Stegostoma tigrinum: one gene and its partner. The protein of the gene in region 2 interacts with the protein of the main gene of each other region in a pairwise test. Links are inferred from orthologs where the notes say so. Each region holds a gene or a part of one and is shown on either strand. Other genes may lie near its edges.

The links. The genes of interacting proteins can lie anywhere in the genome.
Region 1: the proteins of cep76 (region 2) and cryba4 interact in binary tests that used the Homo sapiens proteins (3 or more experiments, as listed by UniProt). The two-hybrid records come from large-scale screens. The link is inferred for Stegostoma tigrinum from reciprocal best matches to the Homo sapiens genes CEP76 and CRYBA4.

The regions. Positions count from the first base shown.
Region 1 is NC_081379.1:11,243,273-11,250,398, reverse strand, and holds the start of cryba4 (beta-crystallin A4), read right to left. Parts: upstream 3,050-7,126; 5' UTR 3,009-3,049; exon of another isoform or gene 2,897-3,008; intron 1-2,896. UniProt on the Homo sapiens protein: Crystallins are the dominant structural components of the vertebrate eye lens.
Region 2 is NC_081358.1:117,632,212-117,639,677, forward strand, and holds the start of cep76 (centrosomal protein of 76 kDa), read right to left. Parts: upstream 3,103-7,466; 5' UTR 3,032-3,102; coding exon 2,933-3,031; intron 1-2,932. Other genes in the region: psmg2 (proteasome assembly chaperone 2), read left to right, coding at 3,820-3,885, 6,109-6,280. UniProt on the Homo sapiens protein: Centrosomal protein involved in regulation of centriole duplication. Required to limit centriole duplication to once per cell cycle by preventing centriole reduplication.

The DNA of each region.
Region 1 (7,126 bases), on a different chromosome or scaffold from region 2:
TTTGGCACACCTCAGTCAGATCACCCCCTTCAGTCTTCTCTGCTACAATGAAAATAACCTAAGCCTGTCCAACCGTTCCGCGTCACTTAAATTTTCCACCCCCGTCAGCATCGTGGTGGTTCTCCTCTTCACTCCCTCCGGTTCAATCATATCCTTCTAGTAATGTGATGCCAAGAACTAAACACAGCCCTCTAGCTGGCACCTCTAGTCTTCTGGTACCACACTCAGTGGACATTTTTCATGTGGTTGCCTGGGCAGCAAGTTTCAGCTGCCAGTCTACATTGCTGGGCATTTTGGCTGGTCATCAAGGCTGCTTTGTTCTGACCAGGGTCTGTGTGGGAACCGTGTGTTCGTATGTGAGCTGTATGGGACTATACAAAACTTTGGATAGGTCCCAGCTGGAGCACTGTGTGAGGTCCTGGTCACCACAGTACAGGAAGGATGTGATTGCAATGGAATGGGTGTGGAGGAGATTCACCAGGGTGTTGCCTGAGATGGAACAATTTATGGAGAGAGGCTGGTTAAACTCAGGTTGTTTTCTTCAGAGCAAAGAAGGCTGAGTGGGGACCTGATTTTGGGTAGGGGGGTGGTGGGGTAAGATCATGAGGGCCATGTACAGGGTGGATAGGATACAGCTGCTCCCCTTAGTTGAAGAATCAGTAACAAGGGGCCATAATGTTAAGGTGAAGGACAGGCAGTTTAGAGGGGATTGGGGAAATTGTTTTTTCAACTAGAGGATGGTGGGAATCTGGAATGCACTGCCTGGGAAGGGAGTTGACACAGGAAATCTCACACCCTTTAAAAAAGTACACAGGTGAGCACTTGAAATGTCACAACATTCAAGGCCGTGAGTCATGTGTTGGTAAGTGGGAATAGTGTAGATAGTTTGGCACAGACTGAATGGGCCAAAGGGTCTCTTCTGTGATCTATGACTTTATGATTCTTTCTACAACGGGAAAGTCTGAAGCTCATGGTCTCTGTTGAAGTGGCAGGTTTTAGACTGAGTTCAAAGTAGTGCCTAATAATTGACTCCTGGAGCTTAAGGGAAGTGACAGGAAGTCAGCCAGGATTTCACTGATTGCCATTCCTGGTTAAAGTCTAGTTGTGACCATCAAATGATGACAGTGCACATTCTTCAATAATACTCTCGCTGGCAGATTGCATACCACTCATTGCAGGAATCCATATGTGCCACATGTGAAGCTTGCCCTCCTTGGGCACCTGTGCCAATGCAACCATACCCTATCCTCAAGAACTATCTATCTTTGCCATGGATTCCCATTGGTCAGACCACACTCTGGGCAAAGCATTGAAGTGGTTTGACATTGCCTTGTCCTCGGGATAGAAGGTACACCATAAGCTGACTGTAGGGACAGTACTATCCTGTGTGAGGGGTGAGCAGTCATTCTGTCCTGGAATGCCTGAGTGGGCAGTGGTGGCAGCAGATTCATTAATTTCCAAAACAAAAGAGAAAGAATAGGGCCCATTAGGGACAAAGGAGACAGTCTGTGGGCAGAGCCACATCCATCTTCACCTTGGAGAATGAGGATGAAGGTATGGAGCCTAGGGGAGAGACCACAACCATTCTACCCTGCTGGACTCTAATGACCAGTTACTTTAGTGTCCAACTACACGGCATTCCCAGATCCCAGCTCCTGCTCACCTGATAGTGAGTCTCCTTTGGACTTGCTGCACTAATCTGGGAATGGGAACCAAGAGTTACACTATCCCTAGATCCCTCCCACCACAAACAGGGCACTCTCCCTGGTCTCTGCTCACTGAACTCAAAACCCAGGGTTTTTCACACATTGAGGGCTATCAGGAGTTGAAACAAGGGGCAGATCAAGAATGGGAGAGCAGGTTGAGGGGCTGAATGGCCTACTCCTGCTCCTGTTTCTTCTGCTAAATTACACTGAAAGGTCTTGTTACTGAACACTCTGCCCCAACATCAAAGGAAAGTAAAATTACACAGGGTCCACAGCACAGAAACAGTCCATTAGACCCAACAAGTTCATGCCAAAGTTCATATTCCACACAATCTTCCTCCCACTCTATCTCTATTCCTTTTCTCACATGTAGGTTCTTACTAGCTAAATGGTTTTATGGAGCAGTGAATAGTGTTCCTGCCTCTGGGTTTGAGGGTCACCCAGCACTTGATCTCTTCATAACACAGCAGTGTATGTTGAGTATGTAAGTTGAGAATCAATACCCACCAAAACATAAATCCTGACAGCGCAGGCCAGGGATAGGCAGGAAGAGCAGGAGACGTTCCTGGTCAACCGAGTGATCAGGAGAAAGTTGGACTGTCTGCTATCACTATCCGTAGCTCCAGGCAACAACATGTGTGTAAAAGTGCCTGTTGCCACAGCAACGTGGACTCCCTGAATGTAACAAATGCATTAATAATTGAACCTCCCCTTAAATACATCCAAATACTCATCTGAGCTACTCCCCGCCATGATAATTTCCACAACCTAGCCACACTCTGCCTACACAAGCTTTTCTGGCATGTCTGTGTTTTATTAGTGACTGTGTTAGATTTCACGACACCCCCTCCCAGTTTTGAACTTACCCACAAATGGAAACATCTTCTACACATCTACTCCATCAATCCCTAAACTGCATGTTAATGACTTCTACGTGATTATCCCTCTAGCTTTCTCATTTCTGGAGAGAAGAGCCTGTTCAGTTGTTTTTTTTACCAGATAACTGTATCCCCTGTTAGCACCCTGCACAAATAATTTTTATGCACATTGTACAGTTTTCTGCACTACAGACACCAAAACTGGTCACTGAACTTCAACTGTGGAGCCGAGGTTCTACGCAATGTTAAGATTTATTGATGAACTCAAAAATCTTTTCTTCAGAGCCACAAATGTTATTTAACCAGACTCACCTTCTCTCTTTCAACTATTTTGTTCCAGTATTTTTGGTTATGGTCCTCCTACAGTGGATCCATATACTGTACACCAATTACAGTGTATTTTCTCAAACATGGCAACACTCACCTTTGTAGACTGGAATGCACAGCTCTGATACCAAGTCGCTCCCTCTCAGGGTTTTTATAGCTCACACTTTAAGCAGAGTCAATTGCAGAGACCTGCATTCATCAAACCCCTAGCTCAGCAGCAGGGGAGGGGATTCATCAAGAGTTTATTGTGTTCGCAACAATGTCATGATCTATAGTTAACAGAGGAAAGCATGAAGAATACTGCAAGCACATCATTTCAGTAAAAATAACTTTAGCATTAACCATTTGACCCAGCAACTTATTACACAGCACCTACAGCTTGAGTCCAACTCTTCAACAACGAGTTACTGAACCCAACGCTGTGCCCAACAACATAGAGATCAAATACAGTGGGATTGTTTACCAATTTGCTATATGGGCATTCTGGGTCAGCTGCCCATCGTTAAATCTGAAGCCAAAACTGGTGATCACTGAAATACCTCCACAGCGTACAGCTGGCCAGCAGCGCCAATTCTTAGACTTTGGTGATAAGTTGAAAATTTATTCCGGTTCCTCTCTATACCACCTAAGGTTCAGGTCAGCTACCTCATTGTAGATTGAGCAGAGCAGTCTGTTCTGTGGAACTCAGTATAACATTGGGCAATGTTGTTTGTCAATAGAGGAGCCTTTGCATTGGGCATATATTAAATTCTCAGGTTATCATCATTTAGATGGCACAGTGGTTCACTGGTTAGAAATGCTGCAGCACAGCACTAGGGACTCTAGATTCGACTCCACCATCAGGCAAATGTAAATGTGCAGTTTGCACATTCTCCCTAAGTCTGCGTGGGTTTCTTCCTACAGTCAAAAGTTGCACCGGTTAGCTGGGTTGGCCATACTAAATTGCCCCTAGTGACCAGAGATGTACAGGCTGAGTGGATTAACCATGGGAATTACAGGGATAGAATAGAGGATGGGAATGGGTGGGATGCTCTTTGGAGGGTTGGTGTGGACATGATGGGCCAAATGGCCTCCTTCCACACTGTAGGGATTCTATAATTTGACAATCTGCTGGTGTTAAGAGAAAGATGAGACTTCTGATTGTCTCAAAGAGTGTTCCAGCCAATTAACTCCTTGATGAAATATAGCTACTGTCAGAAATGAGTAAGCCTATTTGCTCACCGCAAACCCCCACAGATTGTCATGGTGATGATTAAATCCTCTCTATTTGAGAGTTGGCTCAGGGATTGATATTGGTAAGGAACGTGGATGGTGAGCTCTCCCACTTTTCTATGAAGTGGTGTCATGGAACATCTTACATTCACCCAAGAGCCAGGTAGACATGATTTAAAAGAATACGGTGCTGGCAGTTTAGCTCTCCATCAGTATGGCAAGCCTAGGTTTTGTGCTCATGCACTACATTTGAACCCAAATATTTCGACTCAGAAACCAGGGTGATACCAACATGAATCCATCCTTACTAATCATTTTACAGTAACTTGGTTTGGAAAGAACCACAGCAAGATGGCTTTCTTTGTCTTGATGTCACATCACATTTCCCTCTTCCATCGTCAGGACAAACCTCTATTTGGTGTTATATATCAGGATCATCCAGCTTTCATAACCACTAATAAAATATTTCAGTGTGTTCCTGAGCGTGACACACAGGCTGCACTGTGGTGAACATAGCATCCATAGATTCACTCTAACGTTTCCCCTTAAAGATCATTACATTACTGCAAACATTATTGCAAACAAATTCAATAAACAAGACTGTGGTGGTAAAAGAGAACCCTACCAAATATGAATGTGTGGTGTGTGAAGTAGGTTTTGAGTGGTACAGTGCAAACAGAGCACAACATTGCACTTACCTTATGATATTAGCTTGTTACCAGATCTTCCTTCTCCTTAATTTCTATCATGTCTCCTTCACTGTGAAAGCTGAAAGTCAAGGCAGAAAACAAGCTTTGTATTTTAAGTAAATGACTAAGTATTCGATACAATTCTGAAGGTGACATTTTGGTGGTTATTGTTCCCAATGTTAAATGCTGTGTCTCAAATATCACTTTCAGTCCTTGCATTTTGATTGTATCAGGAGTCATTCCCTCAAATTTGTTTTTTTTCTGCTGGATTTCTAACCAATCGATTCTCTTTCTTTCCTCAGCTCTCCCTGTCCCCACAATCCAGTAGATTTTAAAATCCAAGTCTCACCTTGCTGTGAAATAACTCCAGAGGCTGGTGTCCCATCACCAAGTCACCCTTTATTTACACATGCACAGTACATGACACTAAACCAGCTAGCACAGAGCTGACCACAAGGGTGAAGAGAACCCCTGATACCCCTGTTTATATCTGTCAGCCAAGGCTCCCTGATTGGACCTGGTTAACTGCCCCAATCAGGGAACTCATATTCTATGAGGTCCACCTGGCTGACCCTGATCTAGTTACTACATTCCTCCCCTCTCTAAGCCCTGAGATGTAGGCCCATTCTTTTTCTTGTAGCTTCTCCCGGGTGTTTTCACACCAGGTTCAGTTCTTCCGACTCTGCCTCAGACACGGGTGTTGCGTACTGGACTGTGGCCCACCTCTTGTGCCCAGACCATTTCAGAAGCAATTAGTCCTCTTCAGGTGGTAGTGTTGCTAAGGCTGTGGCATCTGCTGTGCCTATTTCATCCTCAGAGTTTTCTTTGGTGCTAGGCGGAGGCGGGGGACAGAACCTAAGAGCTCCAACAGCCTTGCTGAATTTCTGAGGGGCTGGGTAGGTTTTGCTTCTTCCCTGTTTGCAAGGCTGCAGCTTTCATTAGGGTCCACCTGCTTGCTCAGGATCGCCTCACCTCCTTGAACTTTGTATGTCACGGGACCTAAGGTTACATCGACCATGCGTCTTACACTTGCAGGGCCATTCTAGTGGCTTTGGCACCAAACATTGTCCCCTGAGATAAACTGTCTCTCTCGCTTAGAGGAGTCTTGTGTCCAGCATTGGCATTCCTGATGCTGTTCACCCTTCAACCCAGGTCCAGGAAGATCACATTTAACCTGATGCAGAGTCTTCTCCCCATTAGCAACTCTGCTGGAGCTATCCCTGTAGCTGCATGAGGGGTGGACCTATAATCAAACAGGAACCAGGATAGTTTGAAGCTGCAGGCTATTTCTTCAAGCCTGTATTCAAAGTTTGGACAGCTTTTTGTGCCAGGTCATTGCATGGAGTTGTCCTTACATGCCTAATGCCATCCAACTTTAAGAAATACTCAAACTCTCTGCTGGTAAATGATGGCCCATTGTCTGCGACCAATACATCTGGGAGTCTGTGTATTGCAAAAGGTGCTTGCAGCATTTCAAATCCCGGCGTTTAATGAATGAACTCTATGCATGTTCAACCACTTTGAATGGGCATCCGCAATGACTAAGAGCATAGAACCCATGAAAGGATTGGCATAGTCAATGTGTAACCGAGTCCAGCATTTACCCGGCCATTTCCACGAATGTTGGGGAGCTACTAGAGGTAATTTTTGTTCTTGTTGGCACTCTGGATACTGCCCCACCAACACGACTATGTCTGCATCCAATCCTGGCCACCAGAAATAACTTCTCACCAGCATCTTCATTTTTGAAACCCCATGGATGACCCTAGTGGACTTCAGCCAGTATCTGGTGGAGACCTCTGCTGGGGTCAGTCCCTCTTGCTTGCCATAATAAAATGCTGTCCTTGAAGGTGATCTAGTCTCTGTGGGTTCAAGAAGGTTTCAGTCCTGGTTGTGATGGCCCTTTGGTTACTCCATCACCACCAGTTGTTTGGCTAGGACAGGATGTCTTTATGCCCATGTTCTGCTATTGCCAGAAAGTTGTCCAGAAAGTTTAAAACCAGAACAGAGTCTTCCAGTGGAGGGACTAATGGTGGTATATCCATGAGAGGGAGACAGCTGAGAGCACCCACTTTTACCACTTGGCTTCATGGACGGTGTTCCAACTTATAATTGTAAGCATTTTGAATATGAGCCCTCTACTGAATTTGACCTAAAGCTTTGGGCAGCATGGCCCTGTCCTCTTTAACTAGGCCTAGCAGGGGTTTTGTTGTCTGTTATTATTACAAATGTACTTCCATAAAGGAACTCACTCACACCGAAGATGACCGCCAAACCTTCCTGCTTGATCTGGGTGTATTTTTGTTCAGCATCA
Region 2 (7,466 bases):
AAGAAGCTCATGTTTGATCTGATGTTAACCTCAACTCAACATTCTTGCATACTCCAATAACGTTTCATCCCCTTGGTAATAAAGAAGCTATTTCCCTCTGCTTTTGAAAATATTTAAAGATTCTGTTGACTGCCATTTGAGGAATGGAACTTCAAAGACTCTCAACCCTGTTTTTTCTTCCAACCAACCCCCCTCATCTCTGTCCCTAAATGGATGACTCTTTACTTTTAAATTGTGACCTCTAGTTCCTGATTCTCACACGAGAAAACATGTTTTTGACATCCGCTGGTCAAGATCCTTTAAGATTCAAATCACCTTGATACTTCTAAACTCCAGTTACAGGCTGAACCTGTCCGTCCTTTCCTCAAAGGGAATTGGCTCATTCCAAGTATTGGTCCAGTAAACCTTTTATGAACGGCTTCCAATGCATTAACACCAGTTCAAAACTACAGTGATCAGTACTGTACACAGTACTCCAGATGTAGTTTCACCAGTACCCTGCACAACTCCTCTACTCTCACATACAATTCCCGTTGCAATAAAACACGTTATCTGCTTTCCTGATTATTTGCCTGGTTACTGCATATTAACCACCTGTGATTCTCACACTAGGACACCCGGATCTTTCTGCAACCTCTCACTACTTAGATATCATGCTTCTTTATCTTTCTGCCAAAAAATTCTCAGATTGTATGTGAGAACAGAGAACAAATAACTAATGTTGTTCCTCTGTTCAAGAAGGGAAACAAGGATAATCCAGGAAACCACAGACCAGTAAGTTGCACATTGGTGGATAGGAAGCTATTGGAGAGAATTCTTAGGGTTAGGATTTACATTTATTTGGAAAAGCATGGCCTAGTTAGGGACAGTCAGCACGACTTTGTGCCTAGCAGGTCATATCTCACTAACTTGATTGAATTTTTCGAGGTGTTGATAAAGGTGATCGATAAGGTAGAGCAGTAGATATTGTCTATATGGATTTTAATAAAGCTTTTGACAAGGTCCCTGATGGGACTCATCCAGAAGATTAAGATGCATGGGATCCACAGTGACTTGGCTGCTTAGATTCAGAACTGGCTTGTCCATGGAAGGCAAGAGGGTAGCAGTGGGAGGGTGTTTTGCTGGCTAGCGGTCCACGAATGTTGGTGTTCAGTAGGGATCCATACTGGGATGCCTGCTGTTTGTGATATATATAAATGACTTGGACGAAAATGTAGATGGATGGGTTAGTAAGTTTACAGATGATACAAAAAAAAATATCACTGGAGTTATGGGCAATGTAGAAGATTTTCAAAGGATACAGCGGGATATAGATCAGTTGCAGAGATATAGTCAGAGAAATGGCAGATGGAGTTTAATCCAGATGCTATATTTTTGGAAGATCAAACGTTAGGAAAAAGTGTAGCTAATGGGAGGACCCTGAACAGCACTGGATCTTGGGGGGTTAAAGGCCATAACTCCCCAAAAATGGCCACACAAGGAGCTAGCATTGTAAAGCATGCTTGCTTTTGTTGATCAGGGAATGGAGTGCAACAGTCATGATGTCATGTTGCAGCTTTAGAAGATTTTGGTTAGGCCATAATTCTAGTTGTCAAACTACATGAAGGATGTGGACGCTTTGGAGAGGGTGCACAAGAGATTTTTGCGGATGCTTCCTGGATTAGAGGGTACGAGGAAAGGATAGTAAAACTTGGGCTGTTTTCTCTGGAGTGGCAAAGGCTGAGCAGAGACTTGACAGAAGTCTATAAAATGATGAGATGCATACATAGGGTTGACAGTCAGAATCTTTCCACACCCCCCCCCCCGAGAACTGAAATGTCTAATACGAGGGGGCATGTATTTAAGGTGACAGGGAAAAGTTCAAAGGAGATGCGAGAGGCAAAGTTGTATTCTCTTTTTAATAGTGTGGTAAGAGTCCAGAACGTGCTGCCAAGGTGATGGTGGAGACATGTACAATAGGGGCATTTATGGAAATTTTAAATAAGCACATGAATATGCATGGAATGGGGGGGGGGGGGAGAGAGATATGGACAAGTGCAAGCAAAAGGAATAACTTTAATTTGGCATCATATTTGGCACACTATGGACCAAAGGGCCATTCCTGTGCTGTGCTGTTCTATGTTCCATGTATCAGATAATTTCCCACTCACAACCTATATCCCTCTGAAGGCTCCTAATACCTTCTTCACAACTTACTTTCTTACCTAGCGGCATCATGAGCAAATTTAGCCAGCATACGCAATGTTGACGGCTCTTGACAGGTCACAGTCATAGATTTACAACACAGAAACAGGCCCTTTTGCCCAATGAGTCTGCACTAATCCATCTATTCTAGTCCCACTTTCCAACACTTAGCTCATAGTTTTGGATGGTATTCCAAGTGTATGTGGAAAGGAGAATCTAGATCTACAAGTCACTATTTAAAAATACAGGGTTATCCATTCAAAACAAAGATAAGTAGAAATGCTTTCTCAAAGAGAGACAGGAGTCTGTGATCCTCTGTTCATCAAAAGGCAGTTGAATAGAGTTCTTAAATGTTTTCAAGGCAGTCATGATCTTATTGGAGCAGGCAGAACAGCTCGAAGGGCTGAATGGCCTACTTCTGCTCATGATTTGTATATTAAATCTACAAAGAGGTAAACAGTTAACATGAACTGTTTCTGGCTTTACACAGATGCTGCATTTTGCTTTACACAGATTTCGCACGTTTTCTCCTATTATTTCAGATCCATAGTATTTGCTCTCATTCAAAGATCATAACTCAACAGGTTAAATTATTATGAAATGCAACTCGTAAAAAGAGGTCAAGAGCTAAAAAGTTAACCATTATTGTTGTAGCTGATTAGACATAATCTGGGATATGGACGGCGGCCTCACGCATCTTGGGCGACATCAAGGCCCCAGCCCGAGGCTGGACGCGGTGAGAGCTCACCTGGGTCAGCTGATTGTGAATGATTTGCTTGAGTTCCAAAGCCTTTTCTGGCGGCAGCGACATAGCGCTAGGGACCGTTTTACCAGGGTTTATCAACATGCACAACCAGCAGCCCAACACAAAAACAACTCGCCGCCAGCCAACCGTCTCTGCAGTCGACAAACACCACCCCTTCCTCCCAACAGCCCTCAAGCCCCGCCTATCACCACCCTCCAATCAGCATCTAGCCCCGCCCTTATCTCCAGTAGCAACTGCAGCCACCACCCAAACACAGCAACGCACCATCCCACCAACGGCCATTAGGCCCCGCCCTCTTACTGACGGACATCGAACTGCGCACACCTCCAAAACACCACATAAAAACGGAAAGAGAACCGACACGTTAATTCTGTGATGTTTTTGTTCACAGGTGCGGCCAGACCTTTTCCAGCAACTTCATGTTTCCAAAAGACCAAACCGACAGCGTTTCAACCCCGTAACCGCACTCACCAACTCTGCTAGACAACCACCCAGGCCAGCCTCACACTGATTACGACAAAGCCCCCCGCCCCCACAATATTTCAAGCCCCGCCCCTTCATCGGCTCACGGCTCGCGCTCTAAGTTTGAAGGCTTGAAAACGAAGCGGGAATTTCACCTCGCGCTTGCCCGTTCAACTGTCTGGCACAATGCTAAAAAAATCTGCAACAACTGGATTTGATCGCTCAACGTTGCAAAGCACAGCTGTAGCTAGTTGCTGCCTATAATAAGTGCGATTTTAAGAAAAACAACGCTCGTGCGCCCATGCCTCGCAATTTTGCGACGCTCTCAATGTATTGCCCACCCCGTGTCTGGGAAGAGGGAACGTCATCAGAAAGCGCCTAGCGGTTGAAGGAATTCAGGTGGTGGAATGGAGACGGTTTTCGTTCCGAGTGGGAATGGCTCCGTAAGCCTGAAAGGCTACACTCTGGTCATGGTAGGTAACTGAACAGTTATAAGAAATAGGAACTGGAGCAGGCCACTCGGCGTCTCGAACCTGCCTCACCATTCAAGGTGTAGAGCTGGGTGAACACAGCAGGCCAAGCAGCATCATTTCGGGCCCTTCCCCGCCTCCATTCTGAAGAAGGTCCTAGGCCTGAAACGTCAGCTTTCCTGCTCCTCTGATGCTGCTTGGCCTGCTGTGTTCATCCAGCTCCACACTTTGTTATCTCGGATTCTCCAGCATCTGCAGTTCCTACTATCTCTGCTTCATTGTTTAGTAGGATCGTGGCTGATCTGACGTTTTTCAAGAGATAACAAGGTGTAGACCTGGATGATCACAGCAGGCCAAGCAGCTTCAGGGGAGCAGGAAAGCTAACGTTTCGGGTCGAGACCCTTCTTCAGAAGAAGGGTCGTCTTCTTTCTGATAAAGGGTCTAGGCCCGAAATGTCAGCTTTCCTGTTCCTGCTCCTCTGATGATGCTTGGCCTGCTGTGTTCATCCAGCTCTACACCTTGTTATCTCGGATTCTCCAGCATCTGCAGTTCCTACTATGTCTGGCATTTCTCAAGTCCGCTTTCCTGCCTCTTTGCCATAACCCTTGATTTTCCCCAACTGGTCACAAATCTATCGATCTCAGTCTTAAATATACACGAGGACTCTTACCCCCATAGCCTTCTGTGGCAAGGAGTTCCAAAGACTCAACCCTGTGAAGGAAGAAATTCCTCCTCATGTCAGTTTTAAATTGGCTCCCTTTTATTCTGAGTCCATGTCCTCTGCTGTTAGACTCTCTTGCAAGGCGAAATACCTTCTTGGCGTTTACTCTTTGACTTGCTAGATGAGTGGCCAAGGTCTGAGAGAGGCCTCTGAATAGTATAAACCAATTAAGCCAAATGGCCTGTTGCCATGCTGCTAAGTTCAGTGTCATTTCATTCTGTGTAAAGTGTGCCTTTAGCACGGTTTATGGGAACTGTTGAAGATGTGGACTTCGCTGTACTGTAGACTCATGCTGGGGTTGCACCTACATTGGCCTTGTCCTCCTACATGGATCTACTTGACCTGATTTCTTGCAGATGTAACGTGTTGCTCCTAGTTTTCGTCCTCTTCCTCTCCTCAAAGGATGACATCAGTGTGTGGCAAATTGGGGTGAGTTGTGCATCCTCAAGGGATTCTGAAGGTATTGCTAGAGATGTGGGAAGTGGTCAATTGCATGAAAGGCTTTTACATGGGACACAGTTACTTGTGGCTAAGATTCCTTCCCACCACTGGCAATCATGTAGGAGAAAGTGAGTGTACGTGGCAAATATGTTAAAGACAACAGATGGGAACAAGATCAGAGAAACCTAGATGTCAAGGTTCATAAAGGTTAGAATTTTTAAAAAAATGAAGCCTACAGCAGGTACTGAATGTTCAATACAGAAGAGCCCCTAGAGAAATATGAAACTTAAAAAGGAGATTATGAAACCAAGAGACCGTATGAGAAATCATTGGTGGATAGAATAAAGGTTGTCTAGAACTAACTATCTGAAAGGGTTTTTGAGTCCAAAACTCATTCTTTAGATATTCACTTGTGTTGCCATAGTTTCCAGAGCTTTGGTCCATAAGCTAGGAAATGGGATTAGTGGGATCAGATCTTTGAGGACACAATGATGCCAAATGGCCTCCTTGTGCACCATAAATATGAGTTTGAGGCTGAAGACTGCTTGAGAAGGATGGGAAAGAATTAGGCACTACAGTCACAGGTATATAATTTCTGTTTTGTGACTTTGGTAAAGGCCATTTGAATATGTTGCAAACCTGGAGTTGCAGGCAAGATGGCCACTGATCTGGGAGTTGACAACACTTTAGGAGAGCAAAGGGAGCTTGGAAGATGATATTTGCAATGACAGCCTGGCCAGTGTGGATACTTGCTATTCAGCCCAACTAGAACTTGTTAGTCTAAAACAGGACTATGGAATATTATCATGATGTGAATCATTCCTAAACCTTTCTCAATATCAAGTCTACTATGGGTGGATGAAAATGAGGAGGAAGATGCAGCGAACACCACATGAATATGTACATTTTAAAAAAAAAAAATTTCCAATGCATTTAAAATAAGGTATGGCCAAAGTCTTACTCTTGTGTGTTGTTTCTGTGGAACCACAAAAGATCAAGTTAGTCATGTGGCAGAATGCAGTGAACACGTAACTTTTAAATAACTGAGCTTTTTGATGTTCCAGCCAGTTGTGTCTGTGGGTAATGTTGGTCAGCTAACGGTGGATCTGATCATTTCTACACTCACATTACCAAGGGTTGGTTATATCCACAGTGACTGCCTCCTTCCGGTGGTGGGAAACAATCCATATGCAACAACTTTGGAGAACTCAACAGAAATGTGTGTCAGCTCTGAAGGTGAGTGAGAGGGTAAAAGTGTGAAAAACTCTGATATAATATATCTAGGAATTTACATTTAGAAAACAAAAATCCAAGGTTCAATCCTCAAGAATTCCGGAGATATTTGGGGGTTGTGCCCTAGATATAATTAGAAAAGTGATAATCGTTCCATCCAGCAAGGCCAGATTGTGGTCAGTAGCATGAAAGGCTGTAGACTGCTCAAGAAGAATGAGGAGGGATTGTACAATGTGATCATGAATATGTAATCTGTCCTTTGCAACTGTGATTGATTAATAAAGTCATTTTAGTGTTGTGCAGGGGCAGAAACCAGGTACTTTCAGGGAGTTTTTAAAAGTTTGTGAAAGAGATAAATGAATCTGATTTGAGGCAAATTGTTCACTCTCATCAGTAATTAAAACACTACGTAATAAAAGTTTAAATGAAGTTGGCCCTTTTATAAGGCAAAGTTGTACACTATAAGAAATGGCACAAGTCTTTGTGAAACAGTTGGATGTGTTCAGAGAAAGAGTTAAGATGTCATTGGCAATTGCATGTTAATGATTGTCCACTGATGATGTGTTGTCTGATGAAAAGCTACTTAAACACTCAATGGTCTTTAACCTGTCTTCAAAATTCTTATTGCAGTTTTATTTACTTAATTATCCCTTTGAAGTGTAGCAAAGCTTTTTTTCCATTTGGTTTTTGGATATGAGTATCACTAGCAAGGCCAGTGTTTATTTCTTATCCCAAATTACTCAAGAAACTAGATCATTTCAGAGCGAAGTACGTTGCTGTGGATCTGGAGTCATGTGTAGGTCGTACTAGGTAAGGATGGCATATTGCCTTCACTGTAGGTCATTGACATAAGACTCTTCTGGTTCAATAACCATGTAGTTTATGAGCATTTATTAATGAGACTAATATATTATTATGGATTTATTGATTCAATTTTCAATTTCCCATCTGTTGTGCTCGAAGTTGATCCCATGTCTCTAAAGCAATAGAAGCATTCACTCCACAGACGTTGCAAGACCTTCTCTGTTTCTCCAGCACAGAGATAATATTAAAAACATTCGTCAAGGGTTCTGGCTAATCAAATATCGTTACTACCATGCCTTTGTTCCCCCTTTTAAGTTCATTGTGCCAACAACAAGAAGGCAGATGACAGTAATTTGTGTGAACCTGTATTTGAAGACTACAGTAG